2 linked regions of the Caenorhabditis elegans genome follow. The protein of the gene in region 2 interacts with the protein of the main gene of each other region in a pairwise test. Each region holds a gene or a part of one and is shown on either strand. Other genes may lie near its edges.

Region 1 (5,193 bases), on a different chromosome or scaffold from region 2:
AAAATATTTGAGAGGCAGGGAAACTTATAGCTCGATGAATAACACGCATAGAATGAATTCGAGGGGAAAAAGTAAAGAGGTGGATAATTATTGAAAAATACGTGCAAATTGAACCCCTTGGGAAAGAACATCAGTCTACTTTCTGAGGTTAGAAACTGCGAAAAAAGAGCATAGGTCCCACCGAGATTTGAACTCGGGTCGCAGGATTCAGAGTCCTGAGTGCTAACCGCTACACCATGGAACCGCGGTGTACAGCGGCGGCAAATGTTTGTAATGAGAGAGGGTTAACAATCGACAACCGCTGCTTTGCAATGTTTATTTAATTTTTCGTGGGGGACTTTGATTGACTAGGCAAGCAGGCAGGGGCGTAGACACGCTAAAAAGGACGTCACAACTTGGTGTCTGAATTAAAAGCGAAAACGAAAACTATAATTCAAATTTGTTACGAGCTAATTATATGCTCTTACTATTTCCTCACTTGTTTTTAAGACAGAAAAATGCAAAACTAAATTCAAAAATCGTTTATGTACACCACAATTTGAAATACATAATTATAGATATTAGAGAAATTCCAAAAAAATACAGAAAACGAGGTAAAGCTTGACAGAAAAGAGTCAAAGAATTGCAATTCGGGGCTACAATTAAATTTTCCAAAAAAAAAAATTAATTATTAAGTTCAAATTTAGACCAATGGATAACTGGCCTTGGTGGCGACTCCGCAGTGATTGTTGCGGTTACGGGCGATACGGATGTATCCCTTCTCTCCCCATCCAGCTCCCCACGAGTTCTTGACAATCCAGTAGTCTCCGTGCTCTGGGTCGGTTCCGTATCCGACGAGAAGCACTCCGTGGTCGAGCTCTTCGGATGAGCATTCCTCATCGTAGTAGACTCCTGAAAATGGATGATATTCGGTGGAACTTAGGCTGAGTTTATGCTGTAGGCCTAGTTTTAGGCCTAGGCTTAGGCTTTGGTTTAGGCATTTGTTTAAGCTTAGGCTTATGAGCTAGGCTTGGGATTAGACTCAGGCTTAGTCTTGAGCTACGGCTTAGACTCAGGCTTAGGCTTAAGCTTAGGCTCAGGCTTAGGCTTAGGCTTTCGCTTAGGTTTAGGCTTAGTCTTAGGCGTAGGCTTAGGCTTAGGCGTAAGCTTAGGCTTAGGCTTAGGCTTAATCGTAAGCTTAAGCTTAGACTTTGGCCTAGGCTGATGGGGTTATACTTTGCTACTAAACAATTTATAAATTCCTTCACCACTTTCACATTCAAGTTCGAACCCAAACTATTATTGTCAAGAGGGTATCATTCAAAAACACGAGTTCTCTTATCACTATTGCCCTCTCTGTCTCTGATGAAAAACCCGAGTAACTAGCTTTCTTATCATTATCATCCAAAATGCAAATAAAACTGACCCGTCAATAAAAACTAGTACCCCCCCCCCCCTCACATCTTCCCACAAAACATACCCTTCTTGTAAAGTTGGAAGCTGCGGTGTCCGGCGTCGATAGCAATAGAGATTGGTCCTTGGGTGGCGACAGCGATCTTAAGTTGCTCCTCATCTCCTTCTGGGGTGTCAACGTATCCCTTATCATCAGCTCCGACGGTCTTCTTGTTGAAGTGACACTTCATGTCACGTCCCTTGTATGGGTATGACTCCTCGGTGTCGACACCATGGTTGTCACGAATGTACTCGAAAGCTTGATCCATGAGTCCTCCGTTGCATCCGTGGTTTCCGTACTTGGTAGAGCAGTCGACGAGGTTTTGCTCGGAAAGGGAGACGAGTTGTCCCAGCTTGCGAGCGTGTTGTCCTTCGAGGGCTCCGGTGGCGGAGAAGGCCCAGCACGATCCGCACATTCCTTGGTTCTTGACATCAGTGACGAGGTGGGTATCACGCCAGTCAACCTCATCTGGGACCTGAAAATTGAATAGGTTTAGGCTTGAGTTTAAGCTGAGGGTTTGGTTTAGCCGAAAGCTTGGGAAGCTCAAGCTTATGCTAAGGCTTAGGCATAGACCAAACTTCTTCCTGGACTGAGCCAAATCCATCAACTCACAATCAGTTTCAAGCCTAGGCTTAGGCTTAGGCTGAGGCTTAGGCTGAGGCTTAAGCTTAGGCGTACACTTAGACGTAGGCTTAGATTTAGGCTTAGACTGAAGCTCAGGCTTAGGCTTATCCCCTAGAAGTTCATCACAGCTCTAAGCTCTGGTGTTCAAATTTCAGCAAAAACAGTTCTAACCATTTGAATCTTGTTTTTAAACATTTCGGTGACCAAAACATTGCGAAATTCAATTTTCAAGCGTATCAATCATCAGAGATGATAATTCAAAAAATACGGTCAGCGAAGAATTATTTTTATCGGTCGTTGAAAACGTTTTTGTTTATGCAAATAGTTTTATAGTTTTGATCGACGAGAAAGTTAGTGTCTGGACCCCAACAAAACCCCTCTCAAAAAATTACCTGAACATTGAATGGAGCCAAGAAAGAGGAGGAGTTCTTGATTCTGGAGTCACCGAAGAGACGTCTGTAACCGTTGAGTTTGCGGTATTGGCTGAATGGCTGAAAAAAACAAGAGTTTGAAAATCAAATGACCTTCGTGTGTTTTGTCAGTGTGGTGGTGTGATAAGCCAGCTGTTGGTCAGTCACGAGACGAGGATTTCATATCTTTATCTTTTTTTTTCTCGCTGGGTGAGATTTTGATAGTGGAACGAGACAGAGAACAGCTTTTTGAAGTTTTTATAGGGGGTATTTATTTTCTTATCTGTCGAAATTAGGAAATGCAAAAAAGGAAAACTTGAAAATCCTCGCTTTAGGAACTTGGGACTCCGGAGCTCCAAACTTGAGATCCTTGGGCTCAAAAATTGTGATCCCGGAGCTCGTTACTTAAGAACCGGAGCTTGAATTTTGAAACCCCGCAGCTCAAAACTTGGGACCCTGGAGCTAGAGACTTCGGTCCTCGGAGCCAGAATTTGAGTCCCCGGAGCTCAAAACGTCGGACGCCGCAGCTCATGGTGCATTGAAATGCATATTCTTACCAAGTCAGCAATATGATTCAATCCCATCTCGAATGTCTTTCTTCCGAGTCGGTGATCTCTGTTGTGATTCTCAATATGGATCATATTCTTGACAAATGCCTCCATATAGGTCTGCTCCTCGCTCTCCGAGTACTCCTTATCAAAGTCCTCCTTATAGTCGTCCCATTTCTCGATGGCCGACTCGATTTGACGGGACAGCTTGGCCGAATTGACGGCGACGACGGCGGCAACCAGTGCCAGAAGAATGAATCGGTTCATTCTGGAATTTTATAACATTTAAAATTAATTTGAAAATTCTACAAAAAGCAGGGGAAACACGAAAAAATATGGAAATGGAATAGGAACTACAATGAACACCTCCCGAGGCGAGTTTATGAAGGATCCTAAAGTAGGCGGGGACAGCGTCAATCAGTGCCAGGACGAGTGTGAGGAGAGAGATGGAGAGGCGGAGAGAAACAGAGAGCGATCAAACCATCAGGTTATCAGTCAACTGATAATAGAGGGAAATTAGGGGTGAAAGTGCTTGCTCCGGTGCTAGGAGCTCAGAATAGTACAGAAATTGGATGATTATCATAATAGGGTTAAGTCAGATAAGCATGTGATCAGGGATAAGTGTTTCGAAAAACGGAAGTTTTCGAGCGGAAGTTTCCGAACTTCTTGAAGTATTGAACATACAGAAAATTAAGGTTTTTGTAGTTTGTAGTGCCCCCAAAGTTTAGAAAACTACCAGTTTTGCTAGAAATGTTTCCAAAACCGAGAAAATTGTTCGCCTTTTAAAAGTGTCAATTATTGGAGTTTAACCGCAAAATTCCAGCAATTTGTGTCAATTTCTACTGTTTTATTGACGTTAGGAACAGAAACTTCCATCAAATTTTGCTCTTTTTGAAGTATGAACTTTTTTTTCGGTTTTTTTTCCAGAAATTTTCAAAACTTTTCATTACGAAATTCGGTAGTTTTTAACGATTTTGGGCCCCAAAAAGCAATGTCTCAAAATTTTATAAGTGGTCCTTGACTGATGTCGGCTGCTTTTTTAGCAAAGGTCAAACTACAAAGTGAGTCAAGTTTTTTAAAATTAACTTTGAAAAAACAGGGGGAAAAAGGACAGAAAACAAACAAACAATTAGGTCACTTTAACAGGTGGCCAACAATGTAAATAAATTGTTTCGCATTCTAAAGGATTTCCAAACAAAAAACTTAGGAATGAAAAACGAGAAAATAAATGTCATCAGCAAGAAATTACATAATCATCCAGCTATTGATAAGATACCTGGTGAAGACGGTGAGATAATCTACGGGAATAAGGAATGATAATGGGAACCTGTTTTTTTTTTGGAGTGGGGAATGGCAGACTTGAGATGTTCTAAGCAATTTTTTGAAATCGACAATTGTTTAATCTTGGGGAAATAGGGAAAAAAAGAGATTTCGAAATTTGGAAATTTCAAAATCTCAAAAAATGCTGTAACTCGTATGAAGTTTTTTATAACTTTCAGCACGTGAATTTCGAAATTCAGTAATTTAAAAACTCAAAATTCAACTAACTAACAAGAAAAATGTAAGAAAAATTATAATTGGAAGTTCTCACTTTCAGACATTTTTCGATACAAAATTCAAAGTTTCAGCACCTAAAAAATCGTAAAAAAATGAATTTAATTTATTTTCAAATAAAAAAAAATTGAAACTTCAGATATTTTCCCATAAGAAATTCAGATTTTGAGACGTGTTCACATAAAAATTTAAATTTCAGACGGGAAAGGAAAATCGTTACGTATTTTTCAATAGAATTTCATAAGTTCATACAATTCTAAACATGGAAGAAATAAAAATGCCGCCAATTTCAATATGGAAATTCAGATTTTGAAGAATTTTTAATAAGTACCTTTGAAACTTCAGACATTCTTGCACAGGAATCTCTAAAATTTTTGTCATTTTTATATGAAAAGTTTGAAATTTCAGACGTTTTCAGAAAATAAATTTTAATTTTCAGAAATTTAGAACTGAATATTGAAGTTTTTTTCGGGAGAAAAGTGTAAAGTTTCAGTAAATTTTTAGATGCAAATAACTTTTTTTTAATTTGGACATATTTAAATAGAAATACTTAAACTTCCAGTTTTTATTTCGAAGGCAAAAATGAAATTTCTGGCCTCAAGAAAAATTATATCAGTAACATTCA
Region 2 (7,654 bases):
CATTTGTAATGACAGTGGGACAAAAGAATTAGAAAGTTGTTTTAAAGTCGAAGGAAGAGAAGGAAATGATTATATCGAATTACTGGCAAGTGATACAAAAGTGAGTTCGAAATGGATGTTTTCGATTTTTAATCAATAACATTAAAACTTCCAAACAGAGATTATTCACAAAACAATTTCCAATTACAGGTCTACATAATATCTCGTCTCTCTGAATCTGGAAAATCTGGATCTCTTGAAATTTCAAAAATCGTTTTCACTGATACAAGTGATCAATCTATTTGTTAAATTATTTGTTCAACTTGTTATTTAATTTCCGAAAATGCCATATTCGAGTTCCTGAATATATCTAGGTACTGTTGACTCAATGATTCACTTTACTGGAATTATTCTGGTTCTCTAGCCATAATTCTGTCTATTATCTGAAAATGTGCAATTGTAAATCTAGATCCATTCTTAATGACCGGTTCCTTCCAGACGTCTCACCTTTTGACTTAATAAATTCGAATTCCACATAGCACATTTTATTCGGTAAAAAACCATTGTTCAAACATTACTCGGGTGGGTGGAAGAAGAGATTATGAGGTACGGGGAGAACGTGAAACAAATCGCAATTCACACAATAATACAAAAAGTTAAAACCATAAATAATAAATAAGGGAGTTCAATAAAGGGGATGAAAACGGGGAGCGATAAAATGATAAAGAGTAGCATGACTCATGAAGACGGGGACAGAGAGACACATACAAACATTGAAAAATCATAATAATTAGAAAGAGTAGCGAATGTATGGAACTTCGACATCTTCACCGTCTGGATCGGACATCATTGGCTCGAGAACCAAAGCGTGAACAGAAGGATGAAGTGATTTCTTCAGCAATTCCTCGTAAACCGCTTTCACTCTGAAAAAAAAACAAATTTTCACATGTTATCATTTGTTACAAAGCAATCTTCTAGTGATTTGTAATTCAACTCACTCTGTTTTGAGTCTTTCTTGTTTTTTGCCAGCATTCATGAAAAACGAGAACAAAAGACACGCTCCAGCGGATAACATCGACACCTCGCATCCACCAGTTTGGTTTTGTACATTGTCGATGAATTCTTGAAGTGTGAGCGGTCCTTGAACGTCAATTCTATCCCAGAGAGTAAACTCTCGGTCCATGTAAGTTTTCTTTGGAGCGCCAATTGGTTCGGCAGAGGAGAAGAATGGCATTGACAGATTTAGGAAAGTGTTCTTGAAACGCTCCATTGGTGTCTTAGGAATACCGTTTGCGTCAACAACCTGAACACGGAAATATGTATATTATAAATTATCACATTAGAATGAATGCCGCTTACCTTGTACAGTTCGATGCAAACAAGACCGGCAACTGCTGCGGTGGTGGTAGCGATGGCTGGAATAATTTTTCCAGCAATTTGTTTGGTTCTCATTCTATCAGCTGGAAGAATATCATAGTTTTCGGCTCGGAGATTCGATGCAGCCGTGATGAACTCCATATGATGGTTAGAATCATCATCCTTCTCAAAATCAACACAGTTCAGTTTGCTTGTAGACTTGACGTTCAGCGTTGCCAATTTCAATTTCAAAGCTTCGATGGCAGCATCATCATCAACGATCATGCTAGAAGCTCCACGTTCATTCTGTTCTTTAGCCTCGGCGTCAGTTACAGCGATCTTGACACCGGATTTAGGCTCGAAAGGTTCCGGATTCACCGAAAGAGCGACACGAATAACTTCTTCTCTGTCCAAAATTGGTTGAACTCCGTATAACTCGGCAATGAGAATTGACGCAGCAAAAACGAAATTGAAGTGTTCTTCTTTGGATGGATCAAAATTGAGAACATGCGGGCAACGCTTAGCTCCTGACCAGAACTTGGCTCCAGAATCAGTGAGTTGATCTGGTGGGAAAGAGTGAAGCATCTGAGCAATATTGTTGTGGTAGAGTTCCTGGAATTGGTTGCGAGCCCAACGAATACAATCTTCAGCAGACGATGGACGAGCATCAATCAAAGCGTCTTTTACTTTTTGAAGAATATCAATTTGTTGTCCAGAAATTAATTTGTCGACATGCTCATTGAACCCTCTTTCATCGGAAAGGAACTTGTTGGCCATTTCTCCTGGCTGGGCGAAGAATGTTTCAAATTGCTCACGCGCCCATTGAATTGTGTGCTGAATTTCATTGGGGAAGTTCTTCAACGTGCAAACAGGAATCTCCTTCTCTGGTGGATCGACAGACGACGAGTATGACTCCGTGAGATATGGATAAACAACTTGAGTGTTTCCTTTGGTTCCCATGGTTCCAGACTCCAGCAAAGGCAAGCGATAGTAGACGCATCGACGATCCATGTATCGCCGAGCATCAACATTATCAAGCGCATTGGCAACTCCATTGAGCTCTCCGAAGAATTCGTCATTGAAAATGTGCTCGGTTTCCAATCCAACACGTTCTGCCAAAGCTTCAATTCGAACATCCGAGTTGAAAGCAGTCACAGCACGGGCGGCACATTCTGACTTCTTTCCCTGAAAACGAGTATTAAGAAGTTAAATTAAATTTTTTCAGGCATACCCCAACGTCACGGCGTCTGAACAGGAATTGTCTGTTGAGATTCGAAATTTCAATTTGGTCCATATCAGTAATTTTGATAAGACCTCCTTCACCACAAGCGACACCCATCATTGATAAATTTTTGAGCAATTCGCATCCGATAGCTCCAGCACCAACAACAAACCATCTTTGACGGAATAGACACTCTTGATATGGCCATCCAAATACGGCAGCTTGTCCATCATAACGAGATTGTCTCGGCTGACAATCAGTTTCCGAAAGTTTGGAATTGTCGAAAGAAGTCCAATCCCCTGGCAAGACTTCAACGTGATCCAAATGAAGCCATTGTTTCAGTGGTGTCATATGGTGTGTGACTCCTTTCATTGCTTCTTGTGCAGCAATACCACCAACAACAGATGACACAGTGACGAGGTTTCCGGATGCAGAAAACGAGAACAATTCGATCAACTTTTCTGGGATTTCTTCAGTACCAGAAGGAATCAATTCTTTTAACAATGCGGCATCCTGAGTGGATCGAGGAGCAGGGGATCTTCCATACTTTTCTTCGAAAGCGTAAAGAGCAGTCCACAAGGCATGAAGCTGGGATGGGTATTCGAACTTGGCATAGTCCCATATTCCGAATTCTGGTTCAACAAGAGATTTCTCGAATGGAACATGAGATACCGATGTTGGGACTTTAACTTGCCTACATCTTCCACCTTCTTTGTAGTCGGAGAATGAAACTGCGAAATCACCAATATTGAATTTCGATGCATTTTTAACGGTGATTTTGAGTGGCTCACATCCATTAATTTCAGTAAGTCCTTTAACTTCAGAAAAAGTAACGTGATCTCCATCCTCAAGACCATGGAAAAGATTCTCCAATGTTGTCACTTCACCAGTGGTTTTATCAATGTGCTCAATGAAGAACTCGCGAACTTGCTCCCCAGTAGCGTCATCAATTCGGAAATTGTCTCCAAAATCGTTGAAGATGTATGAGAATACACCACGAGCATCAGTAATCAGAATACGTCTATTGTGGGCTCGTGTCCATGCAGCGATTTGGCGTTGAGCAGTACGGGCAGCGTCCGTGAGAACAACAAGCTATAAGTTAAAAAATGTTTTTTAACACAAAATTAATTTAAACTTACATCAAATGTTTTGACAAACTCCTCAGTGAGCTCATCAGTTGATACTTGTACATTAACACTGTCATTAAGCTCTGCAAGACGCTCGTAGCAAGAAGTAGCACGATTGTGACCAACATCTGCATCGCGCAAGTAGTATTGAGCCGAGAGATCAGACCATTTTGCAAGCTTTGTGTCATGAATAGTAACATGCCGAACTCCTCCAAGAATCAGATTCTTTGCAATTTCGACTCCTACAGAACCGAGACCAGAAATGAGAACGGAAGCAGTTCGGAGGTTGACCATGGCGGATTCGCCGAGCGTGTAACTGAAATATTCAATTTTGTTTTAGAACAATAGAAAAATCAAACTAACATTTGACGGGAGTAAAGATTTTTGTCGAGAAGCTCATCTGAGTTCCCACCAACTCCTCCGGCATTATTGCTAGTGTCCATCTTCTCACCGTCTTGTCCTTCAGTGTTTTTGGTCGTCTCGACGTTCACGTTTCCAGACTGCTGAAAAATCAGATCATTACATGATATAATTGACATGTTAATATATCTTAGAGCGAAATTTTATATATTTTGAATTGTCATGAAAATCGAGTTTTATGGCAAATACTTTTCAAGTTTTCATAAAACTGGAGTAGAAAAAAGAGTCATTAGTGTAGTTATAATTTGTTTCTAATGCGCGACAGTACAAAATAAGTCATAGTGGAACACAGGGAAATTACAAGAGAAACTACAAAAACTGAATGACTTCGTTGCGAAATTGAAAAGAGCGAGGAAGAATAAAGAGAGAGACGCAGGCAAAGAAACAACTTGACTGTCAAACCGCCCGTTAGTGTCCTTTCGTAATCCGAACCTAACTAGGAAGACGAAGAAAAAAGATTCGTCCGAACTTTCTATAAACGAACACATCGATCAACAAAGCGCGAATCACATTCTAGAACATTATTGATTGCAATCGTTGGCCTAATAACTTGTGAAGTTGGAAAACTCTACGAAACTGATAACGCTTAGGAAAAAAACTGCGTTGAATACAGAAAGTCGACTAACCATTCAATTTTCACAACAAAAAGTGAGCAAGAGCGGGAACGGAAATATGATGACTAACAGAGACGCAGAGAAATAGAGAAAACATGGGATTGACAACAAATAAATAGAACTACGAATGAAAATACACTTTTCAGGGTTTCACTGGCCGAAACTAAAACGTAAATTGTTATTATGTATCGGGACAATTTTACCACCTCAGTTCATCTAATGAAAAAGTCATCAATTTATAACCTCATTCTCTAAAATATTTTACCTGATTACAAAAGTAGACGCCTAAAACATCAATTTCAAACAATTCCAGAATATTCTTAAAACTTACCTTTTTGGGCATATGCCAACCCGGATCATACTTCCTGATATATTCCATATACATAATGAAACAAGGACTAAATTAAAATAGAGAATATACGAGTAAGCATTAAGGATATGTATTTTCTATCCGTCAACAAAATCCCAACTATTATTATTCATTGTCGGCTACGAAGCAGTGTATCAGCGCCAGCTTCTGCGTGGTTGCCACGGCAACTTTCCCTCTAATTTTCTGGGCGAACGAAGATTAAATATAAAAGAAAGCGAACGGAGAATGCGTTTATTCTTGTGATTTGGTAGAAAAATCAGTTCTCATTTTGAATGGGGTTTTCACCTGCTGTTTCGACTAAAAAATCAGAGTGAAATTCGGCGAACACTCATTATCTTTTTGTTGAAATAGCAAAACAACGGAAAGAAACGAGGATTCTTAAATTAATTGAATCTCTGAGAGCTTTCTTTTCAAGCTTCTTATGAATTAAAAATTGTTAATTCAGATTTTTTAAAAATAGTTTTCCATTTCAACTTACATTGACCCCAGAAAGTGTTTGCTGCTTTGGCGCTCCGACGATCGTTCCGTTTCCTACGACTGTTGGTTCTTCTTCGTCGTCAGTCTTGGATCGTTTCGCCGGAGGATATTCGTTTTCTCCTTCACGCTGCAGCTTGTTATTGGTGGCCTTGTTGTTAGTTTTGTTGGCCGATGTTAGCTCAAGGATGGTAGTCATTAATCACGAAAGATCAGAACCACTGAAAATAGTTTTTAATTGATGAAAACTGATGCAGTTCGAATAATGGTGGCTTAAAAGAGAAGAATCTGATGATGAGCTTTCGGCGAGAATTGAGATTGAAAAGCGAATGATTTTTAACCACTGCACGTTTCGAAAAAATGCGAAACAAACTGTTTGTGGAAGATTCTAGAAGGATGAAATTATTGATTTTCATTTGAAAAAAGTGGCGCGCTTGCGAAATGAAGAAAAAGGAACATAAGTGGAAAATGGCGCCAAGTTTCTCATAGAAATATTAGCAGTAAAATAGAGCGCTTTTGCATTTTTCTTCTTTGACATAAAAACATCGCTATCGTCGTCTCGTAGTGTTTGTGTTCCTTTTTTGCGAAAGAAATTTCTCGATATTTCTAATGTATTTTTAAAAGTTCGTTCGTATATGTTTGAAATCAGCATTTTCAAAATTTAAATTGTTTCTTCTGTTTATCGAGTTCGTGCTGACTCTGCTCACTGCTTTTTCCAAAGGAACTTTGAATTTAAAAGATCTGTTTGGATTTGACAAATAATTCACGTATGGTGGTAAACCAAAAAGAAAACATCACATACATAAACAGAGAAGATCCCCAATTCAATTTTTAAAAGTTTTTCGAATAATGAAAAAAACAATATAAAATTAAAGGAATCAAATAATCAAATACGTTGGAACAAAACAAGAGAATGAGGGAGTCAGTATAATTTCAGGGAGCGACAGTGCAATAAATTTAAAGTTTTGAAGATGCTTCACGGCTTCCAGGGCGTACTAGTCATCCTTGCACAAAATGCCACTTATCAACATCTCCTGGTAGTGGAGCATTTGCTCCATGTTCTGGGGTAGCGCCAATGGCAGTTGCGGCCGCTTCATCAGTTCCTTGGTGAACAGCTTCTGGAACCCGAGAGACTCTGAAATTTGAAGTTTAGAATATTAAAAGCGATGAAATCCCTACGTGTTCAAGGATGGGTTTGCTTCCTTGATGAGAGTCTTCCAATATTCGTTGGTCTCATCGATGACTTTCTCCGCGTATTCTCGGTTCTTGAACTCTCCATTAAAAGCGAACTCGTTGGCTGGTTTTCCTGCTGGAATCTTGTAATTGCGGAACCATTCAACAGATGCCTGAAAGAAAAAAAATGAAACGTATTTTGAAAAATGTTTAATCGAAACTTACAGCCAATAGTCCAGGATAAACCTTTTCGACGTCATCAATGTCATTCAACTTGTCAGCATTCTCATCGTTGACATCAATTGCGACCAATTTCCAATCGGTCTCTCCTTCGTCAATGAGAGCCAATGTTCCGAGAACTTTTACTTGCAGAACAGCTCCCCGTCCGGCAACCTTTGATCCAACTTCAATAACATCAATTGGATCATTGTCTCCTTTAGCTCCAGTGTCAGGAACAACATGGTTTGGATCTTCCCATGTCTGTGGAAGAGCTCCGTAGTTCCAGATGTATCCTTTGTGTGGGAAAATGTTGTGAACAAAGCGAGCTACACCCTTCTTCTCATCTTGCTTGATTGGCGAGAATGGTTCCTTGGTGGCCATTTCCATTTTAGCATTTGTCCAACGTGGAATCTCAACAATCATGTTGTAAACTCTCTTGTCCTTGTTGGCGAACAATGGAATATCGTGCCAAGGAGATACGATTCCTTGTGGTCCCTCTGCAAAATAGATATTAGAACCAATAATTATAGCAGCTTCGACTCACTGATATAAACTCTATAATCCAAACTATAAAGAGATCCACGCTCGACGGCTTCGTAAACTGCTGAATCTCCGGCTCCGGTGCTCATTTTCACAGCTTGACTTTGCAAAATGACAGCAGTCTCCGACAAGGGCCTGAAAAATAATAATAATGCGAATA

The links. Proteins that work in one complex are often made in the same cells at the same time.
Region 1: the proteins of uba-1 (region 2) and cpl-1 interact in a two-hybrid assay, tested with the Caenorhabditis elegans proteins (one large-scale study listed by BioGRID).

Annotation. Positions count from the first base shown.
Region 1 is NC_003283.11:16,592,065-16,597,257, forward strand, and holds cpl-1 (Cathepsin L-like), read right to left. Parts: upstream 3,283-5,193; 5' UTR 3,282-3,282; coding exon 3,024-3,281; intron 2,548-3,023; coding exon 2,449-2,547; intron 1,908-2,448; coding exon 1,460-1,907; intron 892-1,459; coding exon 683-891; 3' UTR 508-682; downstream 1-507. UniProt on the Caenorhabditis elegans protein: Cysteine protease which plays an essential role in the degradation of proteins in lysosomes.
Region 2 is NC_003282.8:9,989,163-9,996,816, forward strand, and holds uba-1 (E1 ubiquitin-activating enzyme), read right to left. Parts: upstream 5,784-7,654; 5' UTR 5,762-5,783; coding exon 5,567-5,761; intron 4,188-5,566; coding exon 4,048-4,187; intron 4,001-4,047; coding exon 3,697-4,000; intron 3,650-3,696; coding exon 2,567-3,649; intron 2,521-2,566; coding exon 1,339-2,520; intron 1,283-1,338; coding exon 978-1,282; intron 903-977; coding exon 770-902; 3' UTR 511-769; downstream 1-510. Other genes in the region: mam-2 (MAM domain-containing protein), read left to right, coding at 1-100, 190-288; pyp-1 (Inorganic pyrophosphatase 1), read right to left, coding at 6,562-6,697, 6,742-6,908, 6,961-7,451, 7,499-7,629.